Diceros bicornis minor: one gene and its partners. The main gene of each other region encodes a partner of the protein of the gene in region 3 in a complex. Links are inferred from orthologs where the notes say so. Each region holds a gene or a part of one and is shown on either strand. Other genes may lie near its edges.

Region 1 (3,739 bases), on a different chromosome or scaffold from region 3:
CAGAATTCTGAAAGTTAATGTCTCAAACATTGGTAGATTGCTGTAATTTATGCAACCGTCTTTCACATACAGTATCTCATTTGTTCCCAAAAGCAACCCTATCAGATACACAGTTAAGTATTATTATCACCTTCCATAGAACTAACCTCACTAGGCAGCTACTGAACTTATTTTTCAGTTGTGTACTGTCAGCTCAACAACTAGAATGCACTATCTCCCCAGAGGGTAGAGAAGTTGTCCTCCTGTTCCCAGTTGAACCCTCAGAGCCCAGCACTGTGTCTGGGGCATAGTGAATGTTCTAGTAATATTTATGAAATGAATAAATAAAGTCCCTTGTCTGCTTCAAGACCTTTTTGGTATAAAGCATGTAATGCAACCATGTCCCAGATACCCCATTTAGAGTTCAGTGGTCTGTTCTCTATCAAAAGGAAATTGTGTGAAAATGCTCTGAAAACTACAGCTTATACTCAATGATACTAAGAATAAAAGTACACTTTCCTTGGCAACATGGGAAAATCGATGCACATCACATGTAAAACAACCAAAGTTTCAAATTTTTCACTACTAAGTTTAAACATCTTTAACTAGCTTTGGTATATTGAATATGTGCCTAATAAAGAACTTCAGAAAGCAGAGAAAGAGAAAAGTGCGGCCACAGTTCATAGAGTTTTCAGTACTTGAGGACAACCATTTGCCATAATTTGCTTCCAATTTAACTACAAACCCTTACTTTTGATTATGATGACATTTTTACAGGTGGGTCTGAAATATGTGGAATTATCTCTAACTTTTGAAGGTCAGCAGAAAAAGAGACAACTCATTGAGAATGAAATATGTAAATGTTTAATATTAAGAAGCAGCTACAAATCATAACAGACAAGAACTCTGGGATCTAGAGGCCAAAATCTAACTTCTTACACAACAGGCTAAGTTATAAATTATAATCATTCACTAATTACAGTGAAATTCCGGACTTTGCCACCTCAATCAATCAATGTTCCAAAATTACCCCTTAGAAATGCCATATTAAGTCCTAAACATTCCATCTGCGGAAGTTTCCTTAAAAAAGACAAGTTTTTCCAGGATTTTTTAGGTTTCTATTTCCATCCTTTCCCTCTCCAAAAAAAGAATGATTGGGGGGAGGGGAGCAGTTTGAGAAAACTAGAGAATCCTGAATCTGTGTGCACGACGAAGTTAAACAGGGATCACCCTCGGGGTCGTGGTAAGGGAGCGCGCATCTGTGGAACATCAAGACCATCCACCTTCCATACTCAGTCTGTCACCAGACCCCTGTCTGCACCTGCCCTCAAGCACCAAAAAGTGCAGGCTGCTAAGTTCCAATTATTTGCAGTCAGTCTGAAAACTAATAAAAGACTGCAGGCTTGACAGCAACCTTGGTGATTCCTGAAAATCCACAACAGGAAATGTAACTATCCTCCACCCTCCCGAGCCATTCATCAAAAGCAGACCGAGTCACAGCAACAAGGAGGCCAGGGGCAGGAGGCAAACGCCAGCACTATTCCTCACTTAGAAGGACTCCGCGTTTTCTTATTCCGCAACCAAGGACGAGGAGCACTACCCACTGCCCACACTGGAGGGAAGAGGCTGAAGAGGGAGTCCCTCCCTCTTGGGGTAAAATGTCCCCAAGTTCCAAGGACTATCCTATGGGGTTAAAGATGGGTGAAGGCCACGCTGCCAATGTAAGGCAACCTCGACTGCCAGTCCCAGAGGTCACGTTTACAGCTGATGACCAAGGGTCCTGCCTACACCGACTGACCCGGGTGCCTCACCTGGTGCCCGGAACACCGTCTTTGCGCCCGGCTCGGGCTGCCAGCCTCCTTCCCTTCTCCGCCTCTAACGGGGCAAGGGGGTCAGCGCGGCAAACGCACCCACACCTGGGGCCTAAGGGAGATGCCACTGCGTCCTGGGCAGGAGGATGAGGGGCATCCTGGCGCCCTCCGAACTTGGAAAGGCTTCCGAGCCCCCCTCGGGGGCCGGCGCCCAGGCCGTGGCGCTGAGGGCGGCCGCAGGCGGGCGGGCGCCACGATTGGCCGCGGCGGGCAGCGCTCGGTGGGCGAGCCCGGCCGGCGAGGCGGAGAGGAAGTGGCGGCCGCGGCTTTGCACCAACCATGTTCGGCCGGCGGGCAGATGCCACTCGGCGCCCAGAGCGGGGTCAGAGGGCGCGGGGCGGGCACTCACGTCCCCACCCCGCGGCAGCCCGCGCCCCAGGACCCCCGGTGGACGCCGGCCCCCACGCCTGCCAGCAGGGCGCCGCTCGGTCCCCCGAGGCTCCCCGCCCCCACCTCGCCCGCTCCGTAGCCGAGGCGGGTCAGGCCCAGCGCGCCAGGCCGGCCCGGGGGCGCCCGCGGGGACCCGGAGGCGCCCGGCTAGGCCGCGGCCGGGGCAGATGACCCCTCGGCGCGCCGCCCTCCCCGGACGCGCCGCCCGAGCCCCCCGCGCGCCAGGACAAGTGCAGTGACAAAGCCCCAGGGCCAGGCCGGGCGCTGGCCGGCGGGAAGGAGGACGCGGCGTCCCCCCCGAGCGGCGGCGGCGGCCCAGCCCCCAGGAAGCCGGGCGTGCCGGCCAGGCCCGGCGCCCAGCCCAGCTCCGAGCCCGCCCGCCGGCTCCGGCCGCTGGCACCCGCCGCCTGCGCCCCTTCCCCGAGCCCCAGGGGCGGGCGAGCTCTGGGACCGCCGCGGGGCGCACCATCAAGTTTCCTTTCGCCGCGGCTGGAGGCGCCTCTCCCGGCCGGGGCGCGGGCGCAGACAGCCCGGCGGGCAGCGGGTTCTGCTTATTTACGCTGGAGGCTGCCTGGAGAGGGGCGCCGCCGCCGGGCACCCAGAAGGACCCGCTCCCCTCCTTCGGATCTGGTGGCGACGGCATCTGTAAACACACACACGCACACACATGTCCGCGACAATTTTGTTTTAAAAAGGAGGCCCGACTCCAGCGGACCTGCACCCCCACACACAACACCTGGGGCGCAGAATCACACAGAGCAGGTCCGTGTCCATGGAGCCACCTCTCCGCATCTGCAAATCCAAAAGTGAAATTAAACCTCCACCGACCTCCTCCTCCTCCTCCTCCTCCTCCCTCTCTACCTCCTCCTCCTCTCTGCAGCCTCAGCAGCCCCAGTAGCAGCAGCAACAGCAGCAGAACCTGCTTCCCCTAAAATCAGATGATCCATAACGGCGCCGACTGTTCCTCCAAAAATCGGTATTAATATTTATGAACCTCAGCATTTTCCGTCTGCAAAACATCGTGTCAAACCATCAGGACACGCACGCATACATCTCCCCTCCGGTCCTCATAAACATGCCCTCGAGAAAAACACACACGCACAGTCACAACTATTATTTGAAAAATGTTACCTCTCAGTGTGCTTTTTCACGCTACCAATACAATTCCGCAAGGTTTAAGTGTTGCTAGGGTGTATGAAATGGAAATGAAAGCCCGTCAGTTGAATAATCGCAGGAGCAAAACTAAAAGTTACTCCCCGGCTTGCCTGAGAACAGTCCAGATCGAAAGCAAAACAAGGAGAGGAAACTGCGAAGAGCCGAGGCTGGAAATCCCCCCACCCCCCGCCCTCCTCCTGCTTCCCTCCCTCGCTCCCTCCCTCGCTCCCCCCTCCGCCCTCCTCCCTCCGCCCTTCCTCCCCAGTGTTTGTTTCAAGCTTGTGCAACCGGGAGGTGGAGGCGGAGGGAGGGCGCGCGCGGCCCGGCCCGGAGGTGCGGAAGTT
Region 2 (3,739 bases), on a different chromosome or scaffold from region 3:
CTATAAAAGTAGGAGGATAGGTCATGAAAGATCTACGGAAAGAGATCATAGGAAATATGCACCCCTACATCCAGGAGAGCACATGCTGGGCACATGAATTCCAAGTGCGTCCCACAGGCTCCCAGGAGTGGGCAAGTCCTGTGACCAGGAGCAGCAATTGATGCTGGACATGGCTTTGAGGCGCTAGAAGTGATATTGGCACCAGCATCTGCAGTGTTAGTTACAACCAGTATGAAGGGAGGACAGGGCTGGGAGACAAAGGCCTCTCCCCAAAGCGCTGTTCGGGATCAACAACAGGGCTCTGGCAGGCCCAAACTCGGTTTAAAGAGTGTTAGAAAGACCCCCAGGCCCAGGTCACCCCCAGCCTCTGCCTTGCTGTGGCCAATACTGCAGTGAAACGAACTGGGAGCAAAGCAGAGCAAGGGTTCTCCCTCACTCCTGGAACACTGCTTGCCTCCGCCCCCAAAAGGAGCCCTATTGGCTCCACAGCCACAAATCCCACGCAGAAAGGGTTAACAGGACGGCTAATCGAGACACTTTTGCTGCCCACCCTGGGGTGGGGACTGAGGCCGTCAAGGATGGGAGGGCCATTCATCGGCGCCTCGCCACCGTGCGCCTTCCCGAAGACTTCGGGGTTTCGGAGAACTAGGAGAGAGCAATCGAAAGAATGGAAGCTGGGCTACCCCAATTCCTTCCCAAAAGCAAGCTCCTCGGGTCCTGAGGGAAATCAGGGTGCCCTCGGTCAGCGGTCCCCCCGACCCGCGGCTCGGCGCCCACGATCCGGCCGGCGCTGGCTGCGGCGCCCAGCCCGGCGCCGCGGGGGAAAGCCGGGGCTAACCCGCTCGAGCTCCAGGGATCGATCGCGCTCTCACACACCCCCAGTTCCCAGCCACCCCCACAGAGACTTGGAGACGACTTCAGCAAACTTAGGGAAGCAACTTTTCCCGGGGAGCCAGACCGCAGAAAGAAAGGGAGCCGGGCTAGGGAAGAGGGAAAACGAAAGAGACCCGGGCGGAAAGCGAGAGTCCGAGCTGGCTGGACTCCTGGCGAGAGCCGCGAGGAGGCGGACCCGCCCCGCGGCGAAGGGGAAGCACAAAAGCCCGACAGCGAGTTGTGGGAGGAAAGGCGAGAAAAGATCTGCCGGCCTTTCCTCTTCGACCCAGGGCCGTGACTCCCGGGAGTGACGGGCAGGGTCCCCGGCCTCCGGCGCCAGCAGCCGGCGTGCCTCCCCAGGCACGTTGCGAACGTCTCAGGGAGCGGGCGAGTGAGTCGGTGCCGAGCGCGTCTGTGCGTTCTGGTGGGTCCGCGGGCCAGAGAGATCGTGCGCATTTCGAGCGCGTGCGGGAGTGTTCGAGGGGCTGTGCGAGCGAGCTGCCGGAGCGCCAGGATGGGAAAGGCATCCCGAACGCATCAGGTGCAGAGCCGGGGCACCCACCGAGAGCGGTCGGGAGCGCACAGCGAGCTCCGGCGCCACGGCCGGTCCCGCCGAGAGCCGAGGAGGGCCCGGAGCCCTAGAGACCCTCCGGAGCTACGCCACGGCTGCCCCTCCCCCCCAAAACGGGGGGATCAAGTCCAATCAAGAAAAAAGAGCCCACCACGTTTTTCAAAGAGAAACAAAACCCAAGTGAGTCCCAGTCCTGCTCTCCTTCGCCTCCAGATCCACTCCTCGGATCCTCCGATTCTAGCTTCCCAGCCGACCGGCGAATAAACACACAAATAAACCACAACCCTATCTCGCGCCCGCGCACCGGTCCGCATACACATGAGCACCCACCGGCCCCCGGCTCCACTGCCGGCCCCTGGTGGTACAAAGCCTCCGGATCCCCAATCCTCCGCTCGCGCCCTCAGCCACTGTAGACCGCTCTGCCCCCTACCTCTCACCCCGACCGTGCCCTGGAGCGGAAGGGTTGGGGAGGCAGCTCGCCTAGGCTGACAGCCGGGGCTCCCCCTTCTAGCCGACCCCCCCCCAACTGGCGGTGGCGACGGCTGCAGCAGCAAGAAGGGAGCAAGCCGAATAAAATAAGGCACAAGCCCAGCGGCCGAGTGGCCGAAGCGAGCGCGCCCCCAAGACCTCTCCAGTCCTGGGGCGCCCTGGCGCAAGGCTATTGCTGAGCGGTGCGCCCCTCCCCGACATCCCACTCACCGCTGCCGAGCCAGGCGCTGTAGGGTGGGTGTGCGTGCCTCTTGAGGGGTGTGTGCCTGCGTCGGGGAGGGGTGTTGCTGGGGAACTGTTGCTCTCGGTATCAAGGCGGCAGCGGCGGCATCGCCCGGCAGTTCGCAGTACCCGCTCTCATCGCCCTCAACTCCTCTCTGCTGTGAGGTTAGCAAATCACCACCGGCTGCGGCGCCTCCGCCGCGTCCCACGTCAACGCCAAGCCCCCTCCCCTGCGAGGCCCCGGCGCCTCTCCATCTTTAGTGCTGGCGGCCGAGCCCGGCTCCCTGCCCATAGCTGCCCCCCTTCTCTCCCCCCTCCCGCGCCGTCCCTGGGCTCAGCCCGCCCACCCCCCGCACTGGCCAAGCCCGCGCGCGCTCCCCGCCCCACTCCCCCCTCCTTTCCCCTCCCCTCCCTTCCCCGCGCGCCGCGCCCCGGGCTTCGCCTGACATCTAGCTGCTGCTGGGGCGCCGGCGGCCGCCGCTTACCGGCCAAGCGGAGAGGAAAGAAGGAGCTCGTGGAGAGGAGTTCCAGGGGCTTGGAACCCTTAGTGGGGGCAATGGAGGTGAGGGGCGAGGAGCAGCCCCCACCTTCAACCCCCTGGTTTTTAATTTCCCCTGGACACGGGGTTTGTTTTCTCCTGCTGCTCCAGGCGCGGAGTTTGGTCCCCGGCTTCAAATGTTTGCCCCGATTCAGTGCGTGTTTTCTCGCCTTTCACTTTTTCTCCGGGCTCGGGGCTACATCCCCTGTACCCCGACGTCGGTTTTAGAAGGTCAATTTCCCAGCCCAAGCCCAGGTCTTCTGCGCCTCTGGGCGTTGAGCAGCCGGATTGCGAGAAGTCTCCAGGCGCAGAGCTCGAGGGCCCTGGTGAGCCAGGTGCCAGAGGCTCCGCGGGGATCTATCGTCGAGGGGAGACACCCAGTTTTAGCTGTCGGGATCCCTGGAGGCCGAGGTCGAAGCCTGAGAGAAACTTTCCTCCCTCCCAGTCTTGAGCATCCCCTGGACTTTGACCCCCAGGGAACCTGGCTGGAAACAGTTCCTGAGAACTGCGCCCTAGTCAGCGCAAAGTCTTCAGGGGGCGAGTGAAAGCCTGAAGAAGCTCCAGGTCCCACAAAAGTGCTTCGTCCTCTCAGCTGGCCGCTCCACTTTAGAAGGTGGAGTTGAGATCACTAAACCCGGGTAAGAGCAACCAGAAGTCTGCCCCTCTTCCGGTGATGGAGAGTCCCTTTCTCCCCCCTTTCCCTGGAGCTTGGCGAAGGTAGGGGACAAGAGGTGGGAAGCGCTCCTCTGAGCACAGGCCATGGCAGCCGACTAAGGTCCAGGAGCTTTGGGGTGAGGGTGGTGGTGGAGAGCGCCCTCCCTGGGTCTCAGGCCAGTCAGCCCCGGAGGTCATACAATCTCAGCAGCGCGAGGCTTCAAGCACAGAGTTCTGAGTCCCCACACTCTGTCCCTGAGACGCGAGTGGGTCAAGGGTTTTCCGCCCGACTCACGTACAGTCACATTCCGATGCGTGCCTCTGGCACTGTGCCAGACCGAGAGTCAGGCCCCGAGAACTGAAGGGTCATGGAAGGTGGCAGAAGCCAACTA
Region 3 (3,739 bases):
CTGCCATGGGGGACTGGCCATTCTGCGCCGCTTCAGGCGGTGTGGTCCGGTTGGAATGAGGTGAGGCAGTGGGTGGTGGTGGAGACACAAAAGAGGATGTAGGAGTAATGGGGATCTTGAGCCCTTCTGTGGATGTGGACAGCCACGGTTGTGCCTCTCCATTGATCTTAGGGGGCCCAACTTCACCTTCTGGTTCTGGAGAAGGCTTCCTTTTTCTTGCTGTTCTCGCAACTAGAAAATCAAAGAAATAAAAGAAAACAAGAGAAAATAAATGAACACGCAATAAAACATATCTTTCTTTTACTAATATGAAACAAAACTCACTAAACAATTCCTATTCTCTAAAAACTTGTACATAAAAACACACGCGAGTTTCCAGGGCACGTGCAACTTAAAACGCTTAGACTCATGAGGCTCTGAAGCAGTATACCACTTTAAAAAAAAAAAAAGCTACCGAAAATGGCACGTATGTAATCTCCTGTTTTAACACACGCATACATATACCCAGACTGAACTGTGCATACGATTGCTAACGTCCCCCAACAGGTTAAAAGGTGACTGGTGCCCTCATGCTCCCATCCAAGAATGTGCTGGGAAAGGAAAACCCTGTGTCAGTGCCTATCAGCCTAGTCTGACTCATCTCTGTTATGCTGCTTCAGCACATGAACACGTTGCCACTAAGCACTGGTTCCGCCTCAGGCAGATCAGGAAGTTGGGTGTTTGTTGTTTCTGGGCTAGAGTAGAACGGTGAATGGAAAGAGCACCCCCTCCTCTGCTCTCCGTCCCCTTGTCTCCCCTAGAGCCCCTCACTCCACAGCCGCCCCTACCTGCTTTAGACCCGTTGGCCCCGTTGGCCTCGAAACCCAACAACCTGCCTGCAGTCAGGGCCGGCTCCTTCTTAAACTTGCTCTCGAAGGGCCCCGAGTGGCCGTGCTGGTGCAGCGCCAGCAGCGTGTCGCGCACGGTCTTGGGCCTGTTGACCCAGTCCTGCTCTCCGGGCCCGCGGCCTTTGCCCACGCCCTCGGGGCCCAGCTCGGCGGCCCCGGCCGCAGTGGACAGGCTGTCGGTAGGGCCGCGGTGCGAGGGCGGCGGCGGCTGCTTCTCCTTGGCCGCCGCCTCGCGTTGCTCGTGCTCCGCGGCCGCGCTGCTCGACACAGACGCCGGCCGCTTGTGGGCGCCCAGGTCGGCGGGCTGCGCCGAGCCCAGGCCGGCGGCCGCGGCCCCCGACACGGCGGCCAGCGAGGCGGCGGCGCGGCCGCTGAGACCCAGCGCGGCGGGCAGCGGCGTAGCCGAGCCGTTCATGAGCGGCACCAGGGTGGGCGGCACGGCGTGGCCGCGCCGCGGGTTCGGACTCTGGCGGTTCAGCTCGGGCGGCTCCTCCAGCTTGGAGAAGCCGTTGGGCACCAGGATGCCGTTCACGGGCGGCGGCTGCGGCGTCGGCGGCTGGGCCAAGCCCGCGGCCGGGCGGCTGCCGCCAAAGTCGGAGCCGAGGCGCGGGGGCCGCTCGGCGGCGGCCGCCAGGGGGTAGCGCTCCAGGGCCTGCGGGCCGCGCGGGGCCGCCTCGGGGCCGCCGTGGCCGAGCTGCTGCTGCTGCTGCAGGAGGAGGTCCTTGGCCGAGAGCGGCGGCGGCTTGGCGGCGGCCGGGGCCGCGGCGCCGGGCGGGGAGCGGCCCTCCGGGAAGCAGCCGTGCGCCCGCTTGAGCTGCCGCGCCGTCTCGATGACGAACTCGACGCGGTCGGCGCCCTCGTAGTTGACGCAGCCGCGGCACACGGGCTCGGTGAAGTCCCAGATCATGGCCCAGGGCATGCGGGGCAGGTCACACAGGTAGCACGACTGCCGCCGGGACGCGGCCGCCACCGCCACCGCCGCGGCCATGTCCGAGGAGCCCGCGGCGCTGGCGGCGGAGGAGGAGGAGGAGGGGGCGCCGCCGCCCCCCGCCGGCACCACGCGCGCCCTCCTCCCCCCCCAACCCCGCGGCTCCCCCACGAGCGGCGGCGGCGGCCGCGGCCGCAGAGGCGGCGGCGGCGGCAAAGCCCGCGAAAGCTCGGCGCCCGCGCAGCGCCCCCGGTGCACCAGGGGCGGCGGGCGCGGGGCGAGGGGCTGCAGCCGCGGCAGCACGTCCCCCCGGCCGGCGCGGGCGGGCGGCGGGGCGGCGCGGCGCGGCGGGCGCGGCGGCGGAGGCTCGGCCGGGGCCGCGGCGGGCCTCCAGACCGGGGCAAAGACGGGCCGCGCGGGCGCGGGGGAGCGCAGCAGGTCGCGGCGGCGGCCGGAGCGGAGTGTGGGGCGGGGGGCGGGGAGGCCGGGGGGGCGGGGGGCGGGGGGCGGCCGCCGGGGCAGGCTCAGCCCGAGCGGCGGGGCATGCCGCGCCGGGGCGGCGGCCGGGCGGCGTGGAGCGGACCCCGGGTCGCTCCGCTGCTCTCTCACAGCTTCTGGCGTCGCCGCTCTCCAGCGCCCGCGTCAGCGCCCAGCCCGCGTCAGCGCTGCCGCCGCCGTCGCTGCTGCTGCTGCCGCCGCGACCGCTCCACTTCTACAGACTTGATTCTTCGACAGCCTCGCACGGCGCCTGCGCGGGCCCCCTCCCCTCGCGCGCGCGCCCGCCCTCCCCCGCGCCCGCCCCTCCCCCCGCGCGGAGAACGAGCGCTGCCGGGAGAGCCGGCTCCACGGCGCCCGCCCTGGGTCAGCGCCGCCCGCCCGCGCCGCGCCGGTGGCCCCGACGTGAACACGGTGCGAGAGTGGTTTGCCTTCCTCCACCCGCTCGGCGACCTCGCCTTCAGTCAGGGTTCCCTCCCCTCCAGGTGCATTTGGGCACAATCGTGTGAAAACTCATGTTTTTAAAAGCAACGCCACTTTCTAACTTGGTTCTGTCAATCTCTTGAGAAAGGGGATTTTAAATCTAGCTTGGTTCACAGTTTTGAGATTTTTTCAGTTGTATTTGAACTCTTCAGTAAGTGTTTTTACACTCGCATTTGTCTTGAGGACACATGTGCCGCCGGTCCCCTTAAGTTTTACTAACATAGGAGAGTCTGACTATGCCCAAGCTTAGGACAGCGTCCATACGCCGTTTCACGGAGCCCTTCAGGAAGGGAGCGCGAGCCCTATCGTTACAAACACCACCAAAGCTCCCTCTCAAGCCCGCTCTCACCTCCCCACAAGATCACACCCCACCCTACGGAGCAGCAACCCTCGCGGAGCCACCAACCCCTGCCGCCTTATGTAGGTCCGCTCGGCGTGCGCGTGACGTGGGCGCGGGGCCGCGGGCCCGCGTGCGCCGCCGCCGCCGAGTGCGCACGCTCCGCGCGGACGTGATTCGGCGCCGCTGGCACTGGCGGCCTCATTGAACGAATGCACATTCCAGGGATCCAGGGTCTACGGCCAGCGCGGCGGCGTCACCACGCAGGCTCCGCCCCCACCGCGGACTCTGGACGGCCAGGCCCCGCCCCTGGGGCCAAACTTGGACTGGGGATGGCGTGGGCCGCGGGCGCGAGCGGCGGCGGGGTCGGTGGCGGCCGTAGGGGTGACGAGCGGGCCGGCCTGCGGGCCGCGCTGGCAGTTGTCGCGCAGGGGCGGGCCGTTGGTCGGCGTCCAGGGCGCTGTGTGGGGCGGGAGCGGAATTGCGCCCATTGCGCGGCCCCGGCCGGGCTTAGCCCCCATTGGGTGCAAACCCGCCTGGCGCGAAGGCGGGGTGTGGCGGCAGAGCCAGCCCGGCCCGCCGCGCTCTGCCACTGTTGGCAGCCACAGA

The links.
Region 1: the proteins of IRF2BP2 (region 3) and IRF2 are in contact, whole or in part, in a crystal structure (PDB 8YTG), measured with the Homo sapiens proteins. The link is inferred for Diceros bicornis minor from reciprocal best matches to the Homo sapiens genes IRF2BP2 and IRF2. Residues at the interface, in NP_892017.2 of Homo sapiens: His517, Phe518, Val519, Gln520, Pro522, Phe531, Leu557, Trp564, Ala565, Phe566, Met567, Glu570, Thr573, Ile574; in NP_002190.2 of Homo sapiens: Arg331, Ala332, Ser333, Val334, Ile335, Lys336.
Region 2: the proteins of IRF2BP2 (region 3) and ZBTB16 are in contact, whole or in part, in a crystal structure (PDB 8YTH), measured with the Homo sapiens proteins. The link is inferred for Diceros bicornis minor from reciprocal best matches to the Homo sapiens genes IRF2BP2 and ZBTB16. Residues at the interface, in NP_892017.2 of Homo sapiens: Thr516, His517, Phe518, Val519, Gln520, Pro522, Phe531, Leu557, Trp564, Ala565, Phe566, Met567, Glu570, Thr573, Ile574; in NP_001018011.1 of Homo sapiens: Arg285, Ser287, Val288, Ile289, Thr290, Ser291.

Annotation. Positions count from the first base shown.
Region 1 is NC_080768.1:16,193,187-16,196,925, forward strand, and holds the start of IRF2 (interferon regulatory factor 2), read right to left. Parts: upstream 2,955-3,739; 5' UTR 2,884-2,954; coding exon 2,707-2,883; intron 1,998-2,706; exon of another isoform or gene 1,791-1,997; intron 1-1,790. UniProt on the Homo sapiens protein: Specifically binds to the upstream regulatory region of type I IFN and IFN-inducible MHC class I genes (the interferon consensus sequence (ICS)) and represses those genes. Also acts as an activator for several genes including H4 and IL7.
Region 2 is NC_080746.1:22,382,506-22,386,244, forward strand, and holds the start of ZBTB16 (zinc finger and BTB domain-containing protein 16), read right to left. Parts: upstream 2,371-3,739; 5' UTR 2,144-2,370; intron 1-2,143. UniProt on the Homo sapiens protein: Acts as a transcriptional repressor. Transcriptional repression may be mediated through recruitment of histone deacetylases to target promoters. May play a role in myeloid maturation and in the development and/or maintenance of other differentiated tissues.
Region 3 is NC_080745.1:21,814,380-21,818,118, reverse strand, and holds the start of IRF2BP2 (interferon regulatory factor 2-binding protein 2), read right to left. Parts: upstream 2,390-3,739; 5' UTR 1,876-2,389; coding exon 828-1,875; intron 232-827; coding exon 1-231. UniProt on the Homo sapiens protein: Acts as a transcriptional corepressor in a IRF2-dependent manner; this repression is not mediated by histone deacetylase activities. Represses the NFAT1-dependent transactivation of NFAT-responsive promoters.